Linked DNA regions of Coturnix japonica. The protein of the gene in region 1 interacts with the protein of each later gene in a pairwise test. Links are inferred from orthologs where the notes say so. Each region holds a gene or a part of one and is shown in the gene's direction. Other genes may lie near its edges. The genes, in order: MID2, SLC25A48, GEM, SYT17, HOXB9, TSGA10 and UTP25.

Region 1 (4,173 bases):
AGGGAGAGATGAAAGAAGGAAGGAAGAGAGGAGGGCAGGGAAGGAAAGAAGGGTTTAAGTATTTTGAGGTCTGTAGGTGATGGGAGAAAAGTGCAGGTCTTCAGCACTCTGGGAGCAATGTTACTGATTTCATTCTAAGTCAGACTCAGGTCTTACTGAATACATGTGTGATTTGTTCCATTATTAACAGCTGGGTGTGCTTTACCTGCTGGTACCTGAGGTTGAAACCAGTGGGAGATGTGAGTAAATGCAAAAGGGCTGTTCTGAGTGAGCTGGGAAGGGTGGGAATGTTTCTGTAAGGTCAGGGTAGGTCTCGTGGGGCTGTTGTGGCTGCTGCAAGCCAGTTTCTCTTTGGCAAGGCACAGAGATTGCCCTGCAGCATCCTGCAGGAGCGCAGGGCTGGGGAGTGTGGGTACGCTGGGAGGGGTCTTGAGGGCATTACAGCCCTCCATCAGACATAGCACTGCATGCTGCTCCCTCAGGGGGCTGCAGGCTCTCTGAAAGCCACATCCCATGCCAGCTCCCAGCAGAGGCGAGCATTTCCCTCCTGTGGAAGACAGCAGGATGGGGTTACACACAGGCACAGTGCTGCCAACGCAGCCCATTGCCACTCCTGCAAGAGCTGTGCACAGGGATGTACACCTGCTTCAGATGCTGATGGTGAAATGGAAGCGCATGGCTAAACCACCGATCCCCAGAGAGGTGTTGGGCAATGGGTGCTGAGCCAGCACAGCCTGTTCCGGCTGTTCCACGGTTTGCTCAGCATAGGAAATTGGGAGCGGGCTGTGAAATTCCAGAGCTCAACATGAGGTGGTGCAAAGCATCCACTGCCCGTCCCCGAGCAGCGGCAAAGGAGGAGAGAGCGACAGGCAGCAGGTGAGGGAGGTGCTGGGGAGACGTGGAAAGCACGAAGCCACCGAAACACAAGAAGAAAAGGTGATGATATCAGGGGAATTCATCTGGCCCTGCTCATCACTAGAGCTGCTCTGGAAGAGGGATTCAGATGTTAAAAGGATTTTATATGTATATATATTTTTTCCACCATAAGAATAGATGTCAGAGGGCGAGTCGTGCTTTAGAGCTGTTAGTTACTCACAGAGCTCCCCAGGCCCGCGGTGTGACTGAAGCACCTTCATTTCCCATTGGTGGGATGTGGATGTTAACGCACACCGGGACCCCCCCGCTCCCAGCAACACGCTGGGTGTGAAAAGCAAGGAACCTCCTGACCCAAATGCACCGACATGGGAAGGGTGACTCCAAAACATCCAGACGTGGGGCAGCCGGGGGTGATCTCCTCATCCCTACGGAATGTGACTCACCCCGCAGCGGTCGCTGTGTTGACACGGAGCTGCCCTGCCGGCTCCACGCAGCGCCACTCGGTGCCTGCTGGCCCAGGGTCACCTCTGCCACCGGCAGCTCAGCGCGGGGCCCAGGCAGCACTCCCATAGGGAAATGGTCTGGGGGGCGAGCGGAGGGCTGCGACGGGGCCACTTGTTTTCTGCATGGATATATGCAATAAGGGCTGATGTGGCTCGGCTGCAATCAGGAAAACCGTCCTCGCTGAGCGGTGCTGGAGAGGGATTTAAGGTGAGGATGGGGCGCGCGGTGGCTCCGCTGCTGCGATCTCCCCTTCGTTTCCCAGCCCTACGGGGGCGGTCGGGCCCGGCCCGGCTCGGCCTCACCTGGAGCGGGCGGGGCGGTGGGGGGCGGCGGGGCGGGCAGCAGTTCGGTCCCGCCTCTCCCTCCCCCCCCGCCCCGCAGCTCCGCCGCCGCCCGCCCGCGCCGCCGCCGTCTCCCCCGCACCGCCGCCGCCTCCAAGATGCCCGGGCAGCGGCGGGGAGGCTGCCGCAGCCCGCTGGTAAGGGGAAGGGGGGCACCGAGATCGCGTGGGGGCACCGCAGGGAAATAAAGAGGAGGTTAGGGGGGGCTGCAGCCCCGCCCTGGGCTTTTTTTAGGGGTTCCTGTAGGATTTATGGGGCTCCGCCATCCGGTTATAGGGCGGGCGGCTCCGTGCTTCCGTGCCGGCCCTTTTCCCCCGGAACCGTCCCGCTGCCTTTTTAATGTAATGTAATGTTTTGGGGTGGGGGGGTGCCGGTTTTTGCCGCAGCCGGTCGGCGGGGTTCGGCCGTGAGATCCGCTGCCCCCCAACCCGCTGAAGTTGAAATGGAAGCGGACGGTGAAAGGAGCTCTTCTCCCGGCTCCCAAAAACGCGGCGGAGCGCGGAGAAATGCGCACCGGGCATCGCGGGCGCTGCGCTGAGCTCCGTGCGGTGCTGCCGGTCCCGAAGGGCAGCGCCGAGTTCTATAAGACGCTCCCCAACACCGTACGGTGCCCGAACCCGCTGCCCTCTTCCCTCTCCCAACCCCCCGTCCCGGAGGGTCCCGCAGCGCTGCGGGGTTTGTGCGGGGCGTGAGATGCGGGAGGCGCTGCCGGGCGGCTGCAGGTGCTCCTTGCTGCGTTCCGGGTTCGGGTTTTCCCCCCTCCGTTCTAAAGAGCGCTCCTCGCTCGGCCGCAGAACGCTCGGGGTGGGGGAGGTTCGGCCGACACGAAGGGATTTGGGCTCCTCGAGGCCGCCCATGGGAAGTACGCAGCGATGAGGAGGAAGGCTGAAGGAAGCTGCCTTGGCTTGGGCAGGTGCTGGTGTGGTTCCGGAGCTCCGAGCGTACGGCTCCGGATCCGTGTGCTGCTGTCCGTGTGCCGGCAGGCGGCATGGGATCGGCCCCGGAGCGCGTGAGATGGGTCGGTGACTTTGCGTTGGTTTGTATCGGGGTCATCTCTCCTTTTGGTGGTGGGGGGCGGCGGGGGGCGCGTTCTCCAGCACGCTGTGGGTTTCTGCACGGCAGAGGGTGGTTGGAATGTGGGGTTTTAGGGGTTGGGGGTTTCTCTTTTTGAGCCTCTCGGGTCAGCTCCTGACCCCGGAGCCGTGTCACACCTCAGGGTGACAGCTGTGCCGCCTCACCGGAGATGCCACAACCCCCAAACCAACGCTGTGCTGCACTCCGTGCCCAGCTCTTGCCAAATTTCTCCTCCCTCCAAATAATGCAGGCTACGGCCTGCCCCCAGCTTGCCTTTTCCCAAGTAGAGGGCACTGCATGGAGGCCAGCGAGAGCCTCCCTTGGCTGTCACCTCCAGCAATGTGATGGCTTTGTGCCCCGGAGGGGGGGCCCTCCATCCCCCCCACTCACAGTCCTCGTGGCAACTCTGGGATGTGCTGGGACAGGGCTGCAGTGTGGGGTGGTGGGGTTTGGGGCTTAAGAGGGGTTTCTGGTGGCCCCAATGGGCTGTGACAGCTCTCCTCCCACACTGCTGGCTGGCAGAATAAGTGCCCTTTGTGCCGCTGGACACGCTGCCCTTTCTTAGGAAATGGCCCATTGTGCAGCCTGGAGGCTCCGTCCATCCATCTGTGGGTTCCTCCCCAATCAGGCAAACCCAGCATCTGGGATGCCCCATTCCTGCCCCCTCCTTGTGCCCACATCCCTTTCCCTGCGATGCTCGTGTACGTTCAGAGCTCTTGTCCCCAGCCATGCCCCAGCATCACTGCATCGCCCGGTGCACAGCTGGGGCTGCACCAAATGGGGCTGAGCCTGGTGCATTACAGCAGTGCAGGAGATGCTTCCTGCAGGCCCCACGGCGCAGCACATCGTGGGGTGTCTGCCAGGAGCAGCCCGACTCGCCGGCTTCCCATGACGTGGCTCAGGGTTGGGAAATGAAAGGGGCTCTGTGCCTCTGCGGAATACCATTACCATTATTTATTGCTGGAATTTCTGTCTCACAGGGGAATTAATTGCTGGCTCTGGTCGTTTGGGTCTTGTTTCGCCAGCCACGCGCTGGGGGGAACGGCCTAGAAATTAAATGGCGTTTGAATATACAAACTCAGTTCTGAGTTTGGTTGACCAAAGTGGGGGGAAAAAATGAACTTCAGGCTGAGCTCTTCCTGGAGCTGAGCTGGAACGTCACAAGCATCAGCTGGCCCAGGGTCTGCGTGGGAGCAGAGGGAACATGCACATGTACATCTGTGTGTGCACGGCAGGAGCTCAGCATCCCACGGTGCAGAGAGCTTGGAGGTGGGTCAGGCACTGCTGTGGGTTACCCTGGGTGGGGACCCATTGGAGCTGATGCCTGGGTGCTGCCATCTGATGGAGTTTAGGGGTGGGAGAGCTCGTGGTGATGGTG
Region 2 (4,048 bases), on another chromosome or scaffold:
TGTTCCTGTGAGCAGCTGCAGAGCCAGGCTGGGATTCAGAGCAGCAAAAATCTGCCTCCATTTGCAGCTCTCCATACAACAGTGCTGTCAGCACAAGCAGAGCCTGTGGCAGCTGTGAACTGCATGCACCGACCCTGATGCTGTCTGGTTGTGGACAGCCATGAGCTGCTCTGCTCACTGCTTGGCTGCAGCCTGCAATATCTTTGAGGACAAATATGCAGCTGCCAATTGTTTTAACAAGTGAATATCAAGCACTTTGAGCTTATGCACAAATGACTGTACATTTTAGGGCTGATTTATTGGGCTTTTTGGGTATTGCAAAGAGTTCAAATGCCCTGCAGGCTGCTGAGTCTGTTTGGAGGAACATCTTCCAGAGCATTGCTGTTTGCTCCCGGCATCCACCCCATCCTGCTCTTCCAGGCTGGGAGAGTTACTCTGAAGCCCTCATAACATTTGCTTTCAGTTAAGCTTTCAGCACAAAGATCATGTCCAGTGTTCTGCCTGAGATAGCAGATGTTCTGAATCTGGCGTGGAAACGTGTTGCTTGGTGTTAAAGAGAATTGCTGAGATTGATGATTAATGCTGCTGTGATCTGAATAATTAGCTCAGTCAGCCAGTTCTGGCTTTGTGAGAGAATGTGCATGGAAAAGGAGGATAACATCCTGTATAACTGCAAATATGGGATCCCATCTCTTCTCAAAGGAAGAAAGCAAAATCATCTGAAGAAACAAACAATGGATGAGTTTGTGTGTTGTCTCTGACATTTACATGGCCCAGAGCTGAGTGGGTGGATGGGGAGCAGCCCCTGCATGGGGGGCATGTGGTGCTCTGCACATTGATGCATCTCAGGTTTTGGGTGTAGACTGATCAGAGCTGACAACCACACACCTCATATTGAATCCCTTTAAGCAGTTTGTAGGCAAAAGCTCCCTTCAGCCAACCCAGCGATTGTGTTTCCAATGCACATGTACAGAAGGGAATGTTGTTGTAAGGACAGCTTGAATTGTTACGTATCTTTCTGTGGAAAATGATGATTATTCCAGTGCAGATTCACATATTAATTCTTTCACTGGCAGTTTCATTATATTTTATATAATATTATATTTTAAGGCACTATTTAGGTGTTCAGGAGTTCTTGTTTATGAACTACCCACCTATGTACCTATCAGAATATGCAGACAAAACACTTGTTGACAAAAACAATGTAATATTCCAGCAAGGCAATAGGAACCTGATACCATTCTTCTCAGGAAGCACCTAGGACTGATCCAAGGAGCTGCTATCTGTGGCAATCTGACTCCTGCAGAACAGAAAGCACTTCAGGCTGTCATAAATTACAGGTGAGACAGATGTGTACATAAGATGGGGAAGGTCCAAAGCATCTTTTGCAAGTCATTCTCCCTGCAGTCAAAGGAAGGAGAGCACAAGGATGATCTGGTTTAGAAGCAAGGGGATAGCAGAAGTGCTGCTGAGCATCTGGATGTTATTCTGGCATAAGACATGAGATTTTAATGACACAGGAGGTGAAATAGCCAGGCTGGGCTCCAAGTCAGGGATTCAGGAAGGAGAGTTCAGTCTTCAGTATCAGTCAAAGTTATGCCGGGAATGATCAGGGAAGGGTTTGAGATCAAAACACTAAAACCTGGTGTGTTCCTTCCATGGTTCTGTTGCACTGCTCAGGGAGATGTTGGGGGAGGGTGAGCTAAACTAGAGAGTGAAAATAACAGAGCTGGGCTCTGGAATCCAATGAAGGCAGGGCTGAGGGAGAATAGGGACCTAAGGAAATTGTGAATGCTGTGAAGAAAGAAGGAGCTGGGGAGAGATTCTTCAATGTTTCTCAAAGTAGGGAAGGGGGTGCATCTCCTGAAAAAACAGCAGGGAGATTTCAAAGGAACGGTAAACCAGCGAGAGATGCTCTTCACCATTGAAATCCATTAATTTGGGGGTATTTATAGAACAATCCCCCAACAATCTTTGGTTTTATCCTTCAAGAAACTCCCCTCAACTTCTGTCTGTTTCAAGAAGGAGCGATTCTGCTTTTTCGGCTCCCGGCCCTAACAGCTCCACCGTGAAAAGGAGAGCGCTGCATCTGACCCCGCTTAGCCGAGAGCGGACCGGCCCCAGCCCGGCCCCACCTCTCCCGGCCCTGGCAGCGGCACCGGAGCGGCCGCTCCCGACGGGACGGGCCCGTGGTAGGGCGGGGGCGGCCGCTCTGCGCCTTTAAGCCCCGGCCGTGATGTCACCGCCGCCGGGCTCCGCTCCGAGCCGTCCGCTCCGGCCCCGCCGGGACCCCCCCAGGGTCCCCTTCTACAGCGGCTCGATATGGGCAGCCTCCAGCTCCAGGACTTCGCCGCCGGCTGGGTGGGCGGTGAGTGCTGCTGGGCTGGGGGCGAGCAGACGTGGCATGTGGGAGCTGTGCGTCGGACCGGGGGTTGGGGGGAGGGGGGATGGAGTTGCGTGCTTTTTGCTCCCAAAGAACAAGTAATGAAGTTCAAGCAGCCGCAGCAGCATCTTGGCGGCGCACCGCTCTGCTCACCCTCAGGTGGGACACGGGGACACCGGTGCTGCCTCTACGCCGCTCCGTGGGCTGCGGTCCGGTGGTAGCAGCCCGTGCTCGGCCGGGTCCCGTCGCAGCCAACCCGCACTCCGCAGCCGCGCACACCCCTGGAGAGTGCCCCTCGGTGCCCCGGGGCTCCAGGTGCAGCAAACAGGCAGCGGGGAGGGACGGGGCAATGACCCGATTTGCAAAAAAAGAGAAAAAATGCTGATCGCAGCTGTCGGGAATAGAGATAAGAGAAAAGAAAGGAAAGGCAAAGGGCTGTCGGGACGGTCGCGCTGTGCTGTGTCTGAGAGTTCCGAACTTCACGTTCCTGCTGAATGTGACAGGTGGCAAAGCATGTGGGGATGGGCAGGGCGTGGGGCTGAGTGCTGCACTCACAGCAATTTGCAGCCTTGTGCTGACGCCAGGCTCAGGACAGGGGGGTGAGGTGGCTCACAGACCCCGAGCAGCCACACTGGGTTAAACAGGACAATCTAATACAACTAGAATCTCTGCCAGAATGCTCTGTGCTGGTCTTGTGCTGTTGATGTATACCCTAAGCACAGGGCAGGATATCACAGGTGAATGGCCACCAGCACTCAGCTGCCATTCAGGTTGGAAAAGACTTCTAAGATCCCCAAGTGTAACCCCAACCCATCCCACCATGCTCATTGACCATGTCCCCAGGTGTTGCATCTCTATGTTCCTGGAACACTCCCAGGAACAGAGAATCCCCAACCTCCCTGGGCAGCCTGTGCCACTGCATCACTGCTCTTTTGGAGATGCTTTTCCTAATATCCAGTGTGAGTTTTCATGTATAACACTGGGCTGAAGGTGGTCTCAGGTCAAGGTCTGGGACAGGGGGGATGCTTTAGTGTTTCATTCATCATTTCATAATGTGTTGACTAACAGCTTTGTGCTCTTTTTAGTCTGACCACCTTACAGGTGAGAAATTCCCAAGGTCACTAAAGGATTGATGTTAACCCAGCAAAGGGGATGTAGGTTTGCACTGAGACCTGCAGGTGTGGAGGCAGCACAAATTAGTCACCATCCAAGCCCATTGCTTCCTATCGCAGCGCAAAAAGTTCATCATCATCTTGCTTAATTCTCTGTTTTCATCCCCAGGAGCTGCCAGTGTGGTTGTGGGTCATCCCCTGGACACTGTCAAGGTAAAGCACTGATCCTTGCTCTCACATCACCACCCCAAAAGTCTCAGGTGGGGAGGTGGGCTCCTTTAGGGTGATGCTGCAAAGACCTTTGCTTTTCCCATTGCTGCAAGGCAGAACTTAGCCTGGGTAGAAAGGCTGTCATAGACCAGAGTGTTTTTCCTCTTTTCTTTTGGAGTGGCACAAAGGGCTGCCCTATACGTGTGCGGGTTCCTCAGGTGGGGGATTAATACAGAAAAGTAAAACTGGCCTTACATCATGTTGGGTTTACCAAACAGTTCTGCTAATGTTCAGTTGAACTTTGCCACCTGAAAAGCATTCAAGAGGTAGTGAGTGTGCTGTG
Region 3 (2,654 bases), on another chromosome or scaffold:
TGTAACCAACCTGATCTAGCTGTAGGTGTCCCTGTTCATGGCAAGGGAGTTGAATTAGATGGCCCTTAAGGGTCCTTTCCAACTGAAAAGCTTCCATGATTCTATGATTCGGATCAGGGGCAGAACATCTTCAAGTAGTGTGGTTACGTACTTGTAGCCTCTCGCTGTGTCATGGAGAACAAAGAAGTAGTCCTCTAAATGTTGTCCTCTGGTGCAGATGGATCTTGTTCCCATGCCAATGCTGGATCAGTCAAAGAAACCATTATCCAAACTTGAGCTTACAAACTGGAAATATTATTGCAAGAGATGATGGTCTCAGGACAGCCAATTCACAGAGGGGAATACAGCTGCTCCAAGGGATTAGTTTTGCAACTAACTATAAGATTCATCTGACTCATGAACACAGATGCCCCTCTTGATTAGCTTTGTGCTTTGAATCCTTCAATTTTAAGCTGTGTCAAGCCTGTGCTCTTGTTTACAGTGTTTGATTTTATTTTAAATACAGAGTATTTTTGGCTGAGTCTTTTGCTTGGTTGTAGATTTCTGGCTTCGAGAAAAGCCTGTGATTACAATTTGGGGAAAAGTTCACTCCACTAATACCCAAAAGAAAGTGTATGAGGCAGGAGTTAAGGCATGGTCCTATCTACAAGCATAGCTGGAACAGACTCCTCACACAGTGCAGGGAAAGGTTCAGTATTCTGAGAAACCCTAAGCCCAACATCTTTCACTGGCCAGCAACACAAGTCTAGAGGGGGATTTGAGCCTCACACTACTCATCCAAATGTCCTTGGATCTGGGGGGAAGAAGAATTAGTATTTGAAGTGGAAACTAGACTGAGAATTTCACAGCAAGGATTGATTGTGATTGAGTGGGAACAGCCCCTCCAGATCTAGGCAGAACTTAGTCACGCAGCGCTTATAATCTAGATATGGGTCATTTTGGTTTCAGTACAAAATAAATAACTGCTGTGGTTTGTTGACTGCTTTGCTTTTTGACATCAAAGGTAATGTGGGAAACTGTGAAATGGGAAAGAAATGGGATGCAGCAATCATTTCAGTCTCAGCAGCTCCCGTCTCACAAAACCGTGCCCTCTTTGCTTGGTGGGCTGTTAGCTGTATTGCTCTCAGCAGCAGTGACTGTTCACCCGTAAACTGTCCCCGCTAAAGTGAAAGCAAATATTTTCCATTACTCAGCCTCACTGGACTCTGCTGCTCCCGTGGGGCAAATGTTCAGCCTTTGGTTATTTCTTCCACTGGTTCTATTTTCTCTCTCACATAAGACAAAGACAATATCAATGAAAATAATAAACATCTCATCTTCTGATCTTTGTCTGCTTCATATATCATGGAAAGTAAGACAACCAGTAATGAACAGAAGGCAGGTTTAGTGCTGATGGAAATGTGGAAAGAACTGAACATGAGCCAGCACAAAACTTGGCTCACTAACTTGAGCTGTGAAAAAATTATACTTAGTAAGCTATTTGTTTTTTTATAATGTACGTGATGTCACAAAATAATATGTTACCAACTTTTCCATTTTTCTCTTACAGAAGACACATATGAAAGAACCCTGATGGTGGATGGGGAGGGTGCAACCATTGTACTGCTCGACATGTGGGATAACAAGGTACAACATTTATTTATACATACTAGTTGAATGCTGAAAGAAAAGTACACATGAATGAGGGCTAGTATGAAAAGTAGTTATCTTTTGGGAAAGAAAATATGTTTTTTTATACTTCATCATTAGGAAAAACACGGGATCAATATCCTCCCCAAAGCAAACCAAGCACGCCTAACGGCTCTGTGTAGTGTGAGCCTGAGAAGAGCAAACCTCTTCTTTATTTTTTTAATGATAAGACAAAACATTCAAGACATTTTCTAAACAGTGTTCATTCCGATCTAAATCTAGTATAATGAATTATCAGGGGCAAATTTCACCCTCCTTTATGCTGAAGTATTCATGTGGTCACCACTTTGGAATTGCTTTTAGTACAACTGTGATTCAAACCATATCCAGTGCAGTTACAGAGGGAATGTGTTTAGATTCTCCAATGTTATATTTTCTAAGCAAAATCTGTCTGGGCATAACAGTGTCTGATTGTTTGCTTTGAACAGCGTGAAGGAGAATGGATTCGAGACCACTGCATGAAAGTGGGAGATGCCTACTTGATTGTCTACTCCATCACAGACCGAGCAAGCTTTGAGAAAGCTTCTGAACTCAGAATACAGCTCCGCAGGGCTCGGCAGAAAGAAGATATTCCCATTATTTTGGTTGGCAACAAAAGTGACCTTGTCAGGTGCCGCGAAGTTTCAGTAGCAGGTAAGGAAAATGATGAGGATAAAAACGTTGATGAATTAAAAACTCTGATGAATTAAAACTCTCTCACACCCTTCATTTCACTGGCCTGGGCAGGTGCTGCACAGCCTTTCAGGAGAGATCTGCTTGGTGCCTTGCTCTGAGATGCTAAAGCATCCATCACTCTGCTTCATGCAAATGAGTAAAGAGCTTGTGCCACGGTCCCAGAGCCCGAGGAGTCCTAAGCCCATAAATAGGAATAGAAAGATATCAGGGGAAGCTACTGTTGACTCTCAAGCTCTTCAGTCAGTAGAATCTCTTCTTATGCAGATTTCCCCAAGGTTTAGGTGATATAA
Region 4 (4,273 bases), on another chromosome or scaffold:
TTTGCTCCAAGTTGGCCTGGAAATGAATGTTGCTATTGTGTAAATTGCTGCAATGGTGGAAAGAGAGCCGATGAGATCAGGTGTGTAGGTTCAGTCAGGAAAATCACTTTGTTAACAGGAAAGCAGCGTCTACTGCCTGTAACCAGAGTGGGTCAGCCCAACAGACCCAGCTGATAATTACCTATTTTCTGCTTCTGAGCAGCCCTGCAGAGTTGGTGGGAGTGTGTTTAACCTGTGATCTCTTCAGAGCTCCCCCTTGGGCTCTGGAGGGGTGCTGAGGGCCAGCTAATGTGGCCTGGGGCAGGAGTAGAGAGCCAGGGCCCTCCTCCTGCAGATTGAGTGTACGTGGAGCTGCTCTTTGGATCAGCCCTGGGCACCTTGTGAGCCCCTGCTGACAGCATCAGGCCTGCAGCGTTGGGTGCTGGTGGCTGGGGAGGCTGCAGGTTCACCCAGCTGGGCTGGATGTGGTGCTGTCACTTATGGTCTGCAGGAGCGTTGTGAGCAAGTGCTCAGCCTTGGGAAACCTCCACCCTGTTCTTCAGCTATCAGTCTACCTCTGTGCTATCGAAATTAGTTAATGAGAGAAGCAACAATGCTTGTGTAATTAGCACATTAATACCCTGAAGGAATCAGCATACTAATTACTTGACAGGATGAGAATAGAGGTCAGGTTCTCCAGAAGGGATGAGGAATGAGTCCTGTGGCTTCAGACAGCTCCATTAGGATGACAAAGCCTTTTCTATTTAGCAGTAACACCTCCAGCAAGGTGCTTTACCTTATAAGAATTCAAAATGCTTGAGTCAATGCTAAAACAAATGGCCCCTGCATTTAATGCACCTTTGTGTTTTATGATCCTGCTGTGGACTGTGTCAGAAGATTCGGTGTTCCTGGGATACTTTGCCTCTGCTAATTTAAGCTGTGAGTAATAGGTGGCATTTAGGACTTCCTGGTTTGAAATGGTTTTGTCGCTCAGGATTAAGCTTCATCCTCTAATGTGCATGAAATAAAGAAAAGGAAAACAAAAAAGTGGGGAAGAAACGGCTGTATTTTAGAAAGCGGGGAAGCATTTGATTTGGGGGCGCTTTTATGTGATTTTATCATGTTTGCTTTTGCTAGGGTAATAAATTGTAGCAGGCCGTTTGGCATAACTATTGCTAACCACATTTGTGATCTCTTCCCTTATGTGAGAGCCCATAAATAACACTGGCAGGCTGTGTACTGGTGGGGATGGGTGGCTTACAGCTCCTTACTGCAGCCTGAGAGGCAGTTCCCCAGGCAGCACAGAGCTGCCCTCAGGACACCAGCACCTGTTGGAGATGTGCCTCCAGGTGCTGGTGGCTTCACCTCTGGGAACTAATGGGGACAACCTGGGCAGCCACAGATGTCCTAAAGTGGGGGACATGAAGGTTTTGCTTGTGTGGCTAAAGGTGCTGTGGTGTGGAGAGGGCTGAGCCAGCACTCAGTGGACTGGTGTGCTGGGCATGCTGCAGTAGCACGAAGCTGCCTGCGTGGCTCATGGTGGCCATGAGAACAGAGCTTTGCTGTTCCCAAAGATAGCCCCAGGTCGTTTGGTAAGAAAAAGCATCTCAAGCACAGGCTGAGATGCAGTGCTGAGGGGTGCTGCTACTTGCAGAGGGAGCGTGCTGTTCTGTGCTAGTGCCCTGAACCTACCTGCTTGGGTCCTGGAGCCCCTGCAGGCGTTTGTTCTTAGAAGTCCTCCTCTTTCATGGGAAAGGTTTTAATCTTTAGTACTCCAGCCAGTGCCTGCGGTTATCCTGGCTTCAGCTTTTGTAGACTTTTGGTTCAACTTCCTAATGAGCTGTGGCTTTATTTCTCAAAACACAAGGTGCTTTTATGCCTGTCCAACAGGACACGCAGCCTTGGCCAGCATCAGGCCCATAATTACCAACCGCAGCTGTCTGCAGCTTTGTTCCACGAGGCTGGGCTAGCACAAAGGACAGGCGTTAGGCTTGCGTCTCTTCCTTGGTTACTTCCCTGGCCTTTTAACAAGTTATAATTACAGAAAATTGGTTCTGTATAAGCATCCCACTGACAGTCCGTGTGTGTGAGATTCGTATCTGTAATTTGGGAATGATACTGATTATCATTACAAGGGGTCGTTGACGTTTGTGTTTGAAAAATCATCCTCCAGATCCTTTGGAGGATGACATCCTTGTCATTCTTGTTCATTTACCCAAGTCAAGGCTGTTGTCTGGATGCTTCAGCATCCTGATTTGCTTGGACAAAGATTTTGGCCTTTCTTTAGTTGGTATAATTGTTTACCATATTCTTGCTAAATAGCAATGTGGATTTGTAGGTCCTGTTTATTTCAATTATATTGAAATCTGAGTACAACTTCTCTTTTATTCCTTCCAAACTGCCCAGCCTGTTTCTTGGCTTGATGAGCTGCACACTAAAAATTCCAGTGTCCTGGTTAAACCTTCCACAAAAGCTCTTCAAGAAACATCCTCAGAATGTCACTGACATCTCATGTGTTGGGGTGGCACAAGCACAGGACACAGCCATCCTCTGGGGTCACATTCTGCAGTGCTCGGGGTGGCTGAGCAAGATGCTTTCCTTGATCTGTCCCTGTTTCTGCTTCCCACAGTGTATGGGCACAACGTGAAGAGCAGCAATGACTTCATTGGGCGGATCGTCATCGGTCAGTACTCCACAGGTGCTCCCGAGTCCAACCACTGGCGTCGGATGCTCAACGCGCACCGGACGGCTGTGGAGCAGTGGCACAGTCTGCGCTCACGGGAGGAATGTGACCGCGTCTCCCCAGCATCCCTGGAGGTGACATGAGGTCTGGCACCTGCGGCGGCCGAACCGAACAGGCGGGCATGGCAGGGAACAAACTCCAACCTCCAAATCACCCAACCTCACTCCCACCCCACAGCAGCTCCATTGGACTGAAGCAGCTGCCAGTACCCACCTGGCTGCGTTGGCCTTTGTGCAAACCTCTGCAGCACCAGCCAACCATGTCCTGCCAGGTCCTGTGCCAGCAGCTCCTCGGTGGCACCGGCCGCCTGACTGGCCGGACCCATTGCTCCCCGCGCCCGGCACCGCTCTGCTGTTTCAGTGTCAGAGCAGCAGGTGGCAGGTGGAGGTGCCGCTGGACATGCCAAGATGGGGAAGAGTTCTGAGTTGTGTCCACTCTCCTTATGATCCAAATCCATGACTCGTCCTCTAGGAGATATACGTACCTGTGTGCTCTTGTTGGTGAACGTCATAATTAGACTAGGATGTTTTTTTTAAATGGTAGAAGCTGTGGTGAAGTCGATTCTGGCTCCAGTTTTGTCCTTGTACTTGTTTCAACAGAATTAAGCTCCTGTTACTTCGTGGCCAGCACATGCAGCCCTTGCTGTGCGGGGCCGACATGCTGCCAGCAGCAGTGTCTGCCACTCTCCATAGCAGTCTGTGTGCGTCCAATAGGTACTGTGATGATATAGCGAGTAAATGTCTCCAGTAGCATTTATACTTCTCAGTCCTACCTGATGTAGTGCAAAAGAAACCTGCTGTGGGGACTTCTGCAGTTAAGAATGCCCCCAATGCACAATTTTACTTCCCTGATAGACTGCAGTGACTCCTTCTGTGTTGTGTGTGTTTACTGAGGTAGTTTTCCAGGTCAGCACATGAACGTAGGTGTGGTCAAACTGTCCCATTGGTTGCTTCTGTACATTACTATTATTATTTTTTTTCCACGGCATATTGTCTGGTATGATGCAGGTTGTATATTTATTGACAATAAAAATCTATTTAATTGTGCCACACACCCTGAGGTGGTAACTGTTAGCAGAATTAATTCTTGCGTTGAGCTCAGTTATGTTTATGGTGCAAGTAAAGGCAAACCGGAAGGCTGGAGCTGGCCTTTCTCTGGGTTCACCTGCAGAAAGTTGTTTTGGTGGAGCAGGGCTGAAGCTGGCACGGACTTACCTGCTTGGTGGCCAAAAGCCCCATTCCTGCTGGGTGCATTCCCTGCCAGAGCACCCTGAAGAGATGGAGTCTGATGTGTGGTGTCTGCATGGGGCTGTGGGTCGCTGTGCTCTGCAGGAGCTGCCCTCAACTTATCACAGATTGTAAAAGATTGATTTATTTTAAACCAGCATTGTGGCTGTAGGAGAATCTGTGTCTTGCTTTCTGCCCATTCACAACCTATATTGAAGGGATGGCATCCACAAGAGAGAAGGGTTTGCTGCAGTCCCAGAAAAAGCTGTAAACTTAGGTTGGTTGCCAAGAATTAGAAGGGAACAGTGCTGACTGTGTTCCCAAG
Region 5 (4,002 bases), on another chromosome or scaffold:
AATTAAAATTAAGCCGAAATGAGTCGGATCGCCGATAACGCCGTCGGGGAGAGGGCGGCGGGGGGGTGGAGGGGAGGCGGCACGCACACATACAAGCGGTGCTATAAGCGAGGTGTGCGGGGGGGGGAACACCGTGACTGGAAAGGCGAGGGATCCCTTTTTTTTCCCCCCCTTTCTTTTTCCACAGGCAATAAATTCAGGACTATAAAAATCCAAGAAAGCTAATGTAAGTTTTATTAAACTCTTTAACCGTCGCAAGTCGGAGGCACTCCGCAACAAAGCAGAGTCAGTGGCGCTCGGTATTTCACCGGGCTTGTAAAGTTCAATGAAGGTTTCTGATTCCAGCGACGTGGTGAATCACGCTGGTTCGGCTCCAGCAAAGCAACCCCGACATTATGCCGCAAAACACGTGAAGATGAATTCATACACGGAGCGGTTTTTGGATGCGATACGGATAGAAGCACTCAGCCGAGGGCATGGGGAGGGGGAGCAGGGAGGAAGGGGGGGGATCGTGTCTGCAGCTCGCTGCTCCGAGCCGTAATGTCACGCATATGCCACTCACATTTGAAATTTCATATTTGCCCCCATGATCGTACCACGTTAGCATCCATTTTCCGATGCCAGAGGGTTTGTTATTTACAACACCCTCCCACGACTCTCGCTTTTCCTTCCCAAAACGCATCTGTATGCGCATCGTGTGCATGTCGTGTAATGCACACACGAGTATGTGTGTATACGAAACCACTGGGGTGCGGGTCGGAGGGAGGGGGGGATGGGGGGGTAGGGGGGGTTGATTTCTATGTATTTTCTGCCTTTTGGTTTTTGTTTTTTGCTATCGTACTCTGGAGCCCGAGTGGCAAAGAATAGCTTTTATCTCCCATTCCCCCATGGTGGTTATTAAAGGCGAAGTGAATACATCAGCATCTTTCATTAAAAAACAAGGAAAAGAAAAGAAACCCGGACCCCCTCCCGGACCCCCCCCCCCTCCATAACAACAGCAAAATCTACGTAGGGAGATATCAGCCCCAGCTCTGCCCGTTTCGTGGCTTTTCTAAACTCCTGACGTTTTGCAACATTGCATAAACATAAAACAATCCATCCTTGATATGGAATGCAAGGGCGGATGACAGCGCAGCGCAGCCCCCTCGGCTTCGATTGATTTACGCCGAGACTGACGCTTTATCAGGCACACGAAAAAAGTTTGACCAATCATTTTGCTGGGAGCTCACAACACAGCAGCCCAACTGTACTTTGTTGGCTAGGAAGTTCGAGAAGGGGGTAGAGTACAAATCTAGATCTGTCCTATATATTTTTTTTTTCCCTTCATTGAACCGTGCTTTGTATGATGTCTGAGAATGTCCATTTCTGGGACTCTTAGCAATTACTATGTCGACTCTATTATAAGTCATGAAAGTGAAGACTCGCCTTCAGCTAAATTTTCATCTGGGCAATATACGAGTTCCAGGCAAGCTGGGCACAATGAACATCTAGAATTCCCCTCTTGTAGTTTTCAGCCAAAACCTCCTGTTTTCAGCGCCTCCTGGACTCCTTTGAATCCACATTCTTCTGGTACCCTTCCTGCCGTCTACCATCCATATATTCAACATCAAAGCGTCCCATCTGATAGCAGGTATCTACGGAGCTGGCTGGATCCAGTGCCCAGAGCAGAGACCCTCCCCGGGCAGGGATCTGTTAAGGCTGAGCCGCTGCTGGGCCGTCCCGGGGATGTCCATAAACAGGGAACACAGGAGTACAATTTAGAAACTTCTGCTGCAAGGGAAGGGATCGTTTCCAATCAAAGGCCCAGCTTCGAGGACAATAAAGTTTGTGAAGGAAGCGAAGACAAAGACAGAACAGATCAAAGTAAGTTATAAAAGTGAGGAAGTAAACAGTATAAAAGCTGGAGGAGGTGCAATAAAAGGGGACAATGCTGCGTAAAGTTTAAAATCAGGGCTTAAAGAAAACTCTCAGATGGCTGATGCCAACCTAAGGGGAGAGGTGGGGAGGGGAGAGGGGTGGCATTGTTTCTGGGGGGAAATACAAATAAATATTAAAACGAGAGTCGTCTCCGACCAAAACAGAGTCCAGAGAGGACAAAAGCTGGATCGAGCCGTCCTCCTTCCTACAGAACGCTGACTCCGGCAGCGGAGATCATTGCTGTAAGAGGGAGTGAGGGAGTGCGGGGCTGCGGGTGGAGAGAACCGAGGGACTGGAGGGGGGGGAGAGTGCGGGGAAACGCGGGGAGAAGGGCCGGGAGAGGAGAGCGGAGGTCGGGGGAGAGAAGGGAAAGGGAAAATCGAGGAGGAAAAGTTCACGTGGGGGGGAAGTAAACAGCGGCGGGGGCTTTTCCGTGCCCGCTGAGCTGCGCTGCGCCGGCAGATTGAAGGCTCGGGGCTCCCCTTCACCTCGGGGTTTGTTGTTTTTTTGCTGCCGTGGGTGTATTTGTCGTGAGCGTTTTGCTTGGTTTCCTTTTTCCCTTTTCTTTTGTTTTTATTCTTCTTTTATTATTATTTTATTTTATTCTTTTTTTTTTTGCACGCCTCCGCTTCTTTCTGTTTCCAATTACTCGTATATTCGTGCCTCACTTCAGGGTCTGACTGTTCCAAAGCCGAAATATCACTATTTCCAAACTCCCTCCGAGTTGAGTTAAAAAGAGAGAGAGGGGGGAGTGCTTCCAGCTTAATTAGCTCTTTATTTGTAACGTAGCCAGATTGGAGAACAGCTAAACTTCAGCCTGTGCCTTTTTAGTGACCTGGTTTCTCTTTTATTAGCCCTAAAACGCAGAATGAAGAATCGTTTTGATGTGTTTAATAAGATTATGGTTAGTGCTGCTTGTAATACGCGTTGTTGTTGTTATTAAAATGACGCAAGAGAGTTTGAGTGTGTAAGAATGGGGGGTCTTCACCCCGCACCGGTTCGGTTGGTACCCGGGGTCCATCTGGGAGGTGAAAGGGCTGAGAGGGAGAAATTTGGCTCCAATATCGCGGCGAATGTTTGAGCAATGAAAGGCGAAGTTGTTGCGGAGTGTTGGGTTGGAGAGGGCAGAGAAAGCCCCCGCTAAAGGTACAGCGTGCGGAGCGTGTGCAGGACACCCTGGCACAGTCATTCCGTGAATTAACTTCATTTTGGTTTTTCCACCCCATCTCAACCCCCCCTTCCCCCTCCTCAACCCCTCACCCAAGTGTAGGAGCAACAGTACTGAAAACGCGGTGTATTCCCCCCTCCGTGTGCACGATGGTGCGGGGGCATTCTTTTTTTCCCCTATCGTTTGGCTTGCACCGTGCACACTCACTCACACACACACTCACACACACACAAAAAGAAAGTCCTGTTCTATTGTGCTGGGCAGAGATCCAGAACAAACTGCAAGCGGGAGGTGAATGGTCGGAGAGAATGAAATATCCAGGTTCTGTGCTCAATGTCCCTGAAATTCAATATAGAAAAGCCTCGTCCAAGAAAATGTTATTAAGTCCTAAGTAAGCGCAGGGACCAGAGCTAAGAGGATGCAGTGTGGTTTCTCTATGGCGTGTGGTTACGACGCATATTTTGTTTTAAATAATAGTTTAATTTGGGCTAATGTGGAGAGGCTGCCAGGGCTGGGAGACGGAGCTGTTTTGCAGCGAGCACTCCCACCCATTTCCCTGACTCTTTCAATTTTTTGAAAGTATTTCACAATAATGAATCTCTAGGCCGGTTATGGCACCGGGATCTGTGAATTTATTTGCTAGGTTTGCAGGAAACCATGTGCCAGAGCCTCCCCTCATTTGCTCGCCCATTCAGGAGGGTGTATACAGTCAGTAAATAAAATACCCGCGTTTCAAATGCCTCCGATTTTAACGATCCGAGATGCGACCGAAAAAATAAAAGAAAATAAAACCCGACCAAATAAAAATGCGTTATGAAGCAGAGCCCTCCGTTGCCATTAAAAGATGGGTAGCAGGATTAACAGTATCAATTATTAACAGCTTTCTTCCTCTTTAATATTTAATTCTGCATATTAGA
Region 6 (3,500 bases), on another chromosome or scaffold:
AACCTAAATGACTTCTATGAAGAAATGAGGGGAGAACAGTGTATGTCATTTACTTAGATTGTAGCAAATAATGAGAAGCAATAGTCATAAGTTGGAAAAAGGAGTGTTCAGTCTGAATACAACAGCAGTGAAGCAGTCTCCAGCCTTTGAGATTTTCAAGAACTGGTTGAATAAAACCCTGAGCAAGCTGTCTTCAGAGCTACTTTGTCCAGGGCTTTAAACTGGAGACTGCCTTGCAATCTGGATTGTCTTATGGTTGCATGTTACTAAGACTTGATACTCCACACAAGAAAATGTAATTATACTGTTCTATCCAGTAGCAGTTACTTAAATGTGCAATTGTTAGCTGATAGATACAAATAGAAAATGTAAGCATTAATAAAATGAATGCAGTTCTTGATTGTATTTGCAGTCTTAGTACAACTTGATTTAAAATAGATAAGCATTGATTTATATAGTACCTCTTTCTCCTAGATCTTGTGGTTATAGGTTTTGTTCATTTTCATTTCTCCCTTTCAGCCTTTTAGATTTTGCCAAGGATATAAGTGCAGTTATAAGAGTTATAATATTAAATTGAATGCATTTGTAATGAACAATCTGCTGACTACTCTGAGTGGCAGATCAGCTTTAATCTTATGTTTGATGTATGAAGCATAATGACTATCAGGAATAGCCTTGTCTTATTTCTTCAGTTTATTTGATATCCTTTGAGGGCAATATACTTCAGTATGAAATTTATGGCAGTAATACTGAGAAAGTCGCTGTATACCAAGCGCTAATTGACTTGATCTTCAGCAATCTGACTTTTATTATAGTAACACAGAAACTAGTCCTTCATTCACAAAGGAAAATACTTTGAATGTAAAGTGTGAATGTTTCAGTAATCGAATACAGCTTTCCTTAAACTGGACATTTGAGTAAATAGGCATCTATATGTAAATCAGCTTTTTATTCCAGCTTTTCCTGTTTAATTAATGTTTAATTGTATTTATAGTTAGATAGTGAACGGTTAGAGCAGATGTCCAGAATGACTCTAATGAAAGAACACGTTGATTCTCTGGAAACAGAGGTAAAAATATTGGCAAGAAGATCCCAGGACACTGAAAATGAACTAAGCCACCAGAAAGATGAATACATTTCACTGAGGTCAGTGAAAGTATCTAATTGCATTGGTTTGAGTAGTGTCAGCCTATGTTTTTTGGGTTCCATTTAGCTCAAAGGGATGAGAACTTATGACAGTTGTGCTTGTAAGACATCTTTCTGTTCTGGAATAAAATGTTTTCCCCCATTGCTTATTTATATGTAAAATGTTGACTTGTTATTATGATATAAAGAATATCATCTTCAGTGAAAAAGCAAAATGGTTTGGATTAGGAACTTCCTATTAGAAGCCGCAGCAATTGATGTGTTTTGATGAATTATGTTTTAATTACAAATATATAAAAATCATTTTCCTTTCCTTTGTTCTTAAAGAGACGAGCAAACAAGCACTAACTAATGAGTCTCGTGTTGAGTTAGTTTCAAACATCCATTTATTAGTCTTGCAGTTTTTGTAGGAGCAGAAATAAAACTGAAGCCTTGCATAGAATTTTTGGCCTCAACTGCTGCTTGACCAGAGTTCCTAACCATGTTAAGAAACATAAAGTGGGACTAGACTCAAGTAAAGCTGTAGGGAAGAAACATAGGTCAGTGAGGTCTTGATGAAAAGGACCCTTTAGTGGCTGGAGAGGAAGATCAAGCACATGAGAAATGCTTTTTACAAGTTGTCAGATTTATGAATACTGTAAAAACAGAGTTCTTGAAGATCAGTTGCTACTATTAAAAACCAACTTAAAATAGGTCTAGAATTCCAATGTGTGTTCTAAGTAGAGATTTTTATTGCAATTATTTCTAACAATTTTTTGGTCTCTCTGTTGTAAAAAAATCTTACTTTACTGTGACTCTATATAGTAGTATTTAGATTTAATGTCTGGAGATTAAGGCTAACGTTGATAAAATATCCTCAGTAGTCTAAGATAAATGGAAGTATCTTGCTTTTACTTAACTTTTGCCATTTTAGTGGCATTCCAAAAAGGAATTAAGTCTGATATGAATATCTGAATTATCTTCCTTTTTAGTCTAATGAAGGAAAAGACGGAGCAGATTCTTTCAGAGGCACAGCAAAGCCTTACTAAGAAAAAATATGAAATTCAACTTAATGAAGAGAAAATTAGGCTTTTGGATGAAAAAATTGGTGAGTGACAGATACAGTTTTTCTAATAAAATTCAATTGGATAAATATGTTGCAGGTTTTTCTTTTGTTTATAATATGTAAAAAGAACAAAATTATTGAAAACAAATAAATAGACTGTGATAATGTTAATGTTTCATGTAAAAAGTCCATTTTCTTTCATTGTTGGAAGGCTTTTATATTTTAAAATTATATAAAGAAAGCTCTAAGTTTTGATCGCTACATATACTATTGTTTCAACAATGTATGTTGATGTTAATGTGCTGTGTCTGAGCCTATCAGCTGTATTTGTGATCCACTAGGTTGGTGGTTGTACCTCTCAGCATCAGTAGATGATGATGTAATCAGGAGAACATCTTATGCAGCGTATGGATCATTGAATCACAAGGTTGGAAAGGACCTATAAGATCATCTAGTCCGACCGTCCTTCCTTTACCATACCTACAGAAAACCCCTAACCCATGTCTCCTAGCTCCCTATCCAGGCGCTTCTTGAACACTGCCAGGGATGGCGACTCTACCACCTCCCTTGGGCAGCCATTCCAGTGCCTGACCACTCTCTGAGAAAAAAAGTTCCTTTGTATGTCCAGTCTAAACCTTTTCGGATACAACTTGTGGCCATTTCCTCGGGTCCTGTTTGTTGCCTGGCAGAAGAGGCCAAGCTCCTCCTCATCACAACCTCCCTTCAGGAAGTTGTAAAGTGCCATGAGGTCTCCCCTGAGACTTCTCTTTTCCAGGCTAAAATATGGAATGTTGTACCCTTTTTCTGTTAAGGCATTGAAGGAAGAAATGCAGGAATTACTCCTAGCTTGCCAGAGAATGAATTACCACTTCCAGAAATACAAATGCATTGTGCCTGAAGTCTTATTTTTTTCTATAGATCCAGCTGACATGATGTATTGTTAGATGCAGTATGGAAAATACAGCTATAAAATATCTTCATTACTTACAACTTTTAAACTCTGGTTACTCAGCTCTAAACCTCTAAAACTCAAATAAGAATTTCATTCAAAGCAAATTTAAACTTCTGAATGCTTTGGCTAAGGTGTTTAAGCCACTCCTGAGAAGCCTTGAGGAAAAAAAAAAGGTATTTTGTCCATATTAAAATCTACATATCATGTTAAAAATTTCTGGTTCCATGACATAGTGAAGTACTGTCTTAATGTTTGATAGGGGCATCTTGCATGTTTTAATCTTTCCCAGGAAATGTGTCCAAACTAAGCATATTTTCAGCCTTTTTGTTCTTGGAAGCTGAACTTTCCAGAATCTCA
Region 7 (3,500 bases), on another chromosome or scaffold:
TCTGCTTTATCACAACCTGTGCTCATGTCACTGCCCAGCAATGCAAAGTCTTCAACAGAACCATAAATTGAGGGCATTAAGCTCACTTGAGTCTTTACTGTTGACATTCCACTTCACCTGCAAGGAGTGGAAGCGCTAACTGATGTTTATCAGCATCAGAGCTTCAGGCAGAATATCACTAATCTTTTCTACTGCACAGTGCTTTCCTGTCCAACATTTGTTTTGGGATTTAAACTTTGAGTACTTTAGTAAGTGCTTTTTCTTTCCCTTCATTCCTTTTTTATTTTTACTTTTTTTTTTTTTGTTATAGGCAATCTGTCAAATCTGTTCCATTTTTATGGAGAGAATTCGACATCCTTTCTCTTGTCACCCAGTGCTTTGAAATAGCTGGTTGGAGCTGCAGTGTTGGCCGGCAGAAAAACTGTCCATATCGCTTGCAAATCTGTTCTGAAACTTTTGATCCTGCCATTAGCTGCGGTAGTTCTCAGGACTTTGTTATTTCTGTTTTAAAACAGATCCCTTTAAACAGCACATGGACAAAGAACTCGAAGAAAAAGAAGTAGAAAAAATATCTATGCTATCGAAGACTTCAAGTCAAAGCAAGGTAATGTTCTGTAGCAAGACAGAGTTTCTCGAGATGCTGGAATAAAAATACCTTTGTATACAAGTGAAGTAGTTTCATTTTGTTATTAGGTATTGGCTCTGGAGTTGTCAAGGTTTTGTCACTATTGCTGGTGAAGTGTTTCTTCTTTGCTTAATGCTGAGAGAGAGTTGAGATACAAAGTCTTCTGATATGTCAGCATATGGTGACACGTCTGAAAGTCAGAGCTTTTGAATTTGCTTTGTAGTCATGAGATCGAAGTTTTGGTGCTACTCTTGGCACTGGGTGGAAGCAGGGCTGATCTCTGGGTGGTGGCGCTGGGGTGCAGCGAGGTGCACTGCAGCTGAGTTCCTGGGGTGGCCACACAGAGTCTCAGCAGTGCTTGTGATGCACCTTCGTGTTCTTGATTCAAGGTGGTTCTAACTTTGTACACACTTACAAGAAGCTAAAGAGGAATTCGGTACTTTAGTTAATAGTGGCAGTAATATGCGGGAATAAAACCAACTCATTATTTGAAACAATGCTGTTTTTCAAAATATTCTTTTTAGACAAACTTTTGCTTCTTAACTTTCTCACATCTGATTTTGTTTTGGAGCATTGCCTCACATTCTGGTCACCCATATGTTGGGTGACATTCCTTGGAAGATACCCAATGGTGATGCAGTCAGAGCTAACTGGGATATATATTTTTTTCCCTTTTTTCTCTTTATTTATTTATTTATTTATTTATTTAATATGGTGGTCAGAAATACCAGTGCCACCTAAAGCATTGTATGGCGTATCTTTGCTTAATTTGATGCAGCCACATTATAGAAATAGAATGGGATTTGTGTGACAGGAGACTTAAAGGCAAGAGTTTTTTCTTATTACACTGAAAGGATTTGCCTATAAAATCAGTGCATTGGTGTGACTGACCTGCAAATGTCAGTTGGATTCCAGCGCTGGCAAAACTGACATCAGTTTATTCACCTGCAAAATGGTGGCAGTTGTAGCCATATCACTGCAAAATGCATCCAGATCTTGTGAGCTGGAGTTAGATGCTAAGAGACTGCTTATTGAAAGAAATGTTTCAGCTTTTATTATGAAAAGATAACTGCTCTAATTTCATGACATTGATTAAACAAGCTGTGATAATGTGCTTTAAGTTGTACTGGGTCTGCTCCATTTGACTCTTCTGTTTGCTTTTTTTCCTTCAGTGGCCAAGGCTGGGTCAGCTCACTTTCTCATCCTCTTTGGAGAAACAGACAACTTTAAAACCAGTCAAAGAATTCAATGTGAAACAGCTTTATCTTCACAAGACTTTAGAGTCCACTTGGCCGAAAGTGAATAAACATTTCTTGACCTCAGGAAACAAACCAGGTGATTCCTCTTTCACCCCATTACAAAGAGAGCTCTTCTGTATCATGAATACCTACAGGGACTTGTTCTATCCGGAGAGAGATGCTTTAACAAATGGAGAAGAAATCCGTCATGTTTACTGCTTACATGCCTTGAACCACATTCTGAAGGCTAATGCCCAGGTGCTCAGCAACAATGCCAAAAAACGTGACCAAAAGCCAGGGACCGACAGTGACGACTACAGGGATCAGGGGCTCACCAGACCTAAGGTGAGAGTGCTTCAGAAATGCGATTCCCTGCCTGCTTTGGGAGTCTGGTCAGACTATGAAAATGTCTGAGCAGTTTACTGGAAGGTATTTCTGTTGCTGCTGTTACTTGATGTGTTGCAAGGCACGTGACTTTCCACATCTCTTTGGTTGTGCCTGGAAGACTTTCTGCCTCAGAGTCCAAAGTATCGTTGTGCTGGGGCTCATGTCATTAATCCACAGCACCCACTGGTTAATTATCAGGTAGATTCAACTTGGACTAGTCTGCCTCTTGTTGTGCCAACTGTCTGCTGAACAGTTTCAAGTCTGGGTTTCAGTGTTTTCTGCACTCCTGACAAAGGCTTGCTTTTGGTTTCTGTGTTGACTTTCCAGGAGTGCTTTGCAGAGGTTGTTGCCATCCATTCAGGAGCCAGACTTTATCCTTGTCTGCATGCTGAGGGAGCTCATGTTTGCTTGGGGAACTGAGAGAAGCGTGTGCTTGTAATTGTGCTGGGTATACGAGATGGAGAACCAAACCGAACTTCAGGCCCCTGCATGTTTGTGAGCACACTGTTTGCCAGCATGTTCTCTCCTTGCCATATGTTAGAATTAGGCTTATTCTGCTTCCATGCGGATCCATTTGTATCTGTCTTTCAGAAACAGATCAGTGAAGTGCAGTAAGGAAGTCAGAAGCTAGGGGACTGTTTGAGGGCAGAAGTACATGCCATGGCTGCAGGGTTTAGACCTATCTGGGAGGTCTTATTTTGTCACGTAGGCACAGTGGTTATGTCAGGGAAGGAGGGTGATGCTTGTTTTGATTGCTGGGAGGCCCAAATGTGGGCACTTCAAAGACAAAGCAGTTACTTAACATGCTCAGCTGTGGATATTGATGTTTTTTGGGTTGTTCAGTTGTAACTGTTGATCTGTGCAGGTGCTGATAATAGTGCCCTTCCGGGAATGTGCTTTGCGAATTGTGCATATTTTCATCAGTCTTCTTGAAGTGAACGAGAAAAGAAAAATAGATGTAAGTAATAAGAAGCGCTTCAAAGGGGAGTTTGGTTCTGACCCAGACGAGAAGCCCCCCAACCTGAAAAGACCTGAAGATTATGAAGCCGTCTTCGCTGGCAACATTGATGACCACTTCAGAATTGGTAATGACCCACAGAACATGAGTTTTGCTTATAAAGAAGTGAGGGGTAATCTAACAGGTTCTTCCTTAATGTCTGGGAGCCATCGGGGCTGGTGAGAATTGGGGCTCTGAGGTATTTGTGCTGTGTCTGCAGTGGCATCATGAATACTTCTGAAAATATTCCATT

What was found.
Region 2: the proteins of MID2 (region 1) and SLC25A48 interact in binary tests that used the Homo sapiens proteins (3 or more experiments, as listed by UniProt). The two-hybrid records come from large-scale screens. The link is inferred for Coturnix japonica from reciprocal best matches to the Homo sapiens genes MID2 and SLC25A48.
Region 3: the proteins of MID2 (region 1) and GEM interact in binary tests that used the Homo sapiens proteins (3 or more experiments, as listed by UniProt). The link is inferred for Coturnix japonica from reciprocal best matches to the Homo sapiens genes MID2 and GEM.
Region 4: the proteins of MID2 (region 1) and SYT17 interact in binary tests that used the Homo sapiens proteins (3 or more experiments, as listed by UniProt). The two-hybrid records come from large-scale screens. The link is inferred for Coturnix japonica from reciprocal best matches to the Homo sapiens genes MID2 and SYT17.
Region 5: the proteins of MID2 (region 1) and HOXB9 interact in binary tests that used the Homo sapiens proteins (3 or more experiments, as listed by UniProt). The two-hybrid records come from large-scale screens. The link is inferred for Coturnix japonica from reciprocal best matches to the Homo sapiens genes MID2 and HOXB9.
Region 6: the proteins of MID2 (region 1) and TSGA10 interact in binary tests that used the Homo sapiens proteins (3 or more experiments, as listed by UniProt). The two-hybrid records come from large-scale screens. The link is inferred for Coturnix japonica from reciprocal best matches to the Homo sapiens genes MID2 and TSGA10.
Region 7: the proteins of MID2 (region 1) and UTP25 interact in binary tests that used the Homo sapiens proteins (3 or more experiments, as listed by UniProt). The link is inferred for Coturnix japonica from reciprocal best matches to the Homo sapiens genes MID2 and UTP25.

Annotation. Positions count from the first base shown.
Region 1 is NC_029519.1:1,722,608-1,726,780, reverse strand, and holds the start of MID2 (probable E3 ubiquitin-protein ligase MID2), read left to right. Parts: upstream 1-1,373; 5' UTR 1,374-1,587; intron 1,588-1,753; exon of another isoform or gene 1,754-1,858; intron 1,859-2,461; exon of another isoform or gene 2,462-2,757; intron 2,758-4,173. UniProt on the Homo sapiens protein: E3 ubiquitin ligase that plays a role in microtubule stabilization. Mediates the 'Lys-48'-linked polyubiquitination of LRRK2 to drive its localization to microtubules and its proteasomal degradation in neurons.
Region 2 is NC_029528.1:2,878,344-2,882,391, forward strand, and holds the start of SLC25A48 (solute carrier family 25 member 48), read left to right. Parts: upstream 1-1,248; 5' UTR 1,249-1,340; exon of another isoform or gene 1,341-2,022; 5' UTR 2,023-2,322; coding exon 2,323-2,368; intron 2,369-3,664; coding exon 3,665-3,708; intron 3,709-4,048.
Region 3 is NC_029517.1:114,171,387-114,174,040, reverse strand, and holds part of GEM (GTP-binding protein GEM), read left to right. Parts: intron 1-1,549; coding exon 1,550-1,626; intron 1,627-2,117; coding exon 2,118-2,322; intron 2,323-2,654. UniProt on the Homo sapiens protein: Could be a regulatory protein, possibly participating in receptor-mediated signal transduction at the plasma membrane. Has guanine nucleotide-binding activity but undetectable intrinsic GTPase activity.
Region 4 is NC_029529.1:8,130,744-8,135,016, reverse strand, and holds the end of SYT17 (synaptotagmin-17), read left to right. Parts: intron 1-2,608; coding exon 2,609-2,805; 3' UTR 2,806-3,773; downstream 3,774-4,273. UniProt on the Homo sapiens protein: Plays a role in dendrite formation by melanocytes.
Region 5 is NC_029542.1:3,139,299-3,143,300, forward strand, and holds the start of HOXB9 (homeobox protein Hox-B9), read left to right. Parts: upstream 1-1,202; 5' UTR 1,203-1,355; coding exon 1,356-1,863; intron 1,864-4,002. UniProt on the Homo sapiens protein: Sequence-specific transcription factor which is part of a developmental regulatory system that provides cells with specific positional identities on the anterior-posterior axis.
Region 6 is NC_029516.1:119,380,700-119,384,199, reverse strand, and holds part of TSGA10 (testis-specific gene 10 protein), read left to right. Parts: intron 1-994; coding exon 995-1,146; intron 1,147-2,117; coding exon 2,118-2,233; intron 2,234-3,500. UniProt on the Homo sapiens protein: Plays a role in spermatogenesis. When overexpressed, prevents nuclear localization of HIF1A.
Region 7 is NC_029518.1:20,186,199-20,189,698, reverse strand, and holds part of UTP25 (digestive organ expansion factor homolog), read left to right. Parts: intron 1-515; coding exon 516-604; intron 605-1,797; coding exon 1,798-2,208; intron 2,209-3,115; coding exon 3,116-3,335; intron 3,336-3,500. UniProt on the Homo sapiens protein: Component of the ribosomal small subunit processome for the biogenesis of ribosomes, functions in pre-ribosomal RNA (pre-rRNA) processing. Essential for embryonic development in part through the regulation of p53 pathway.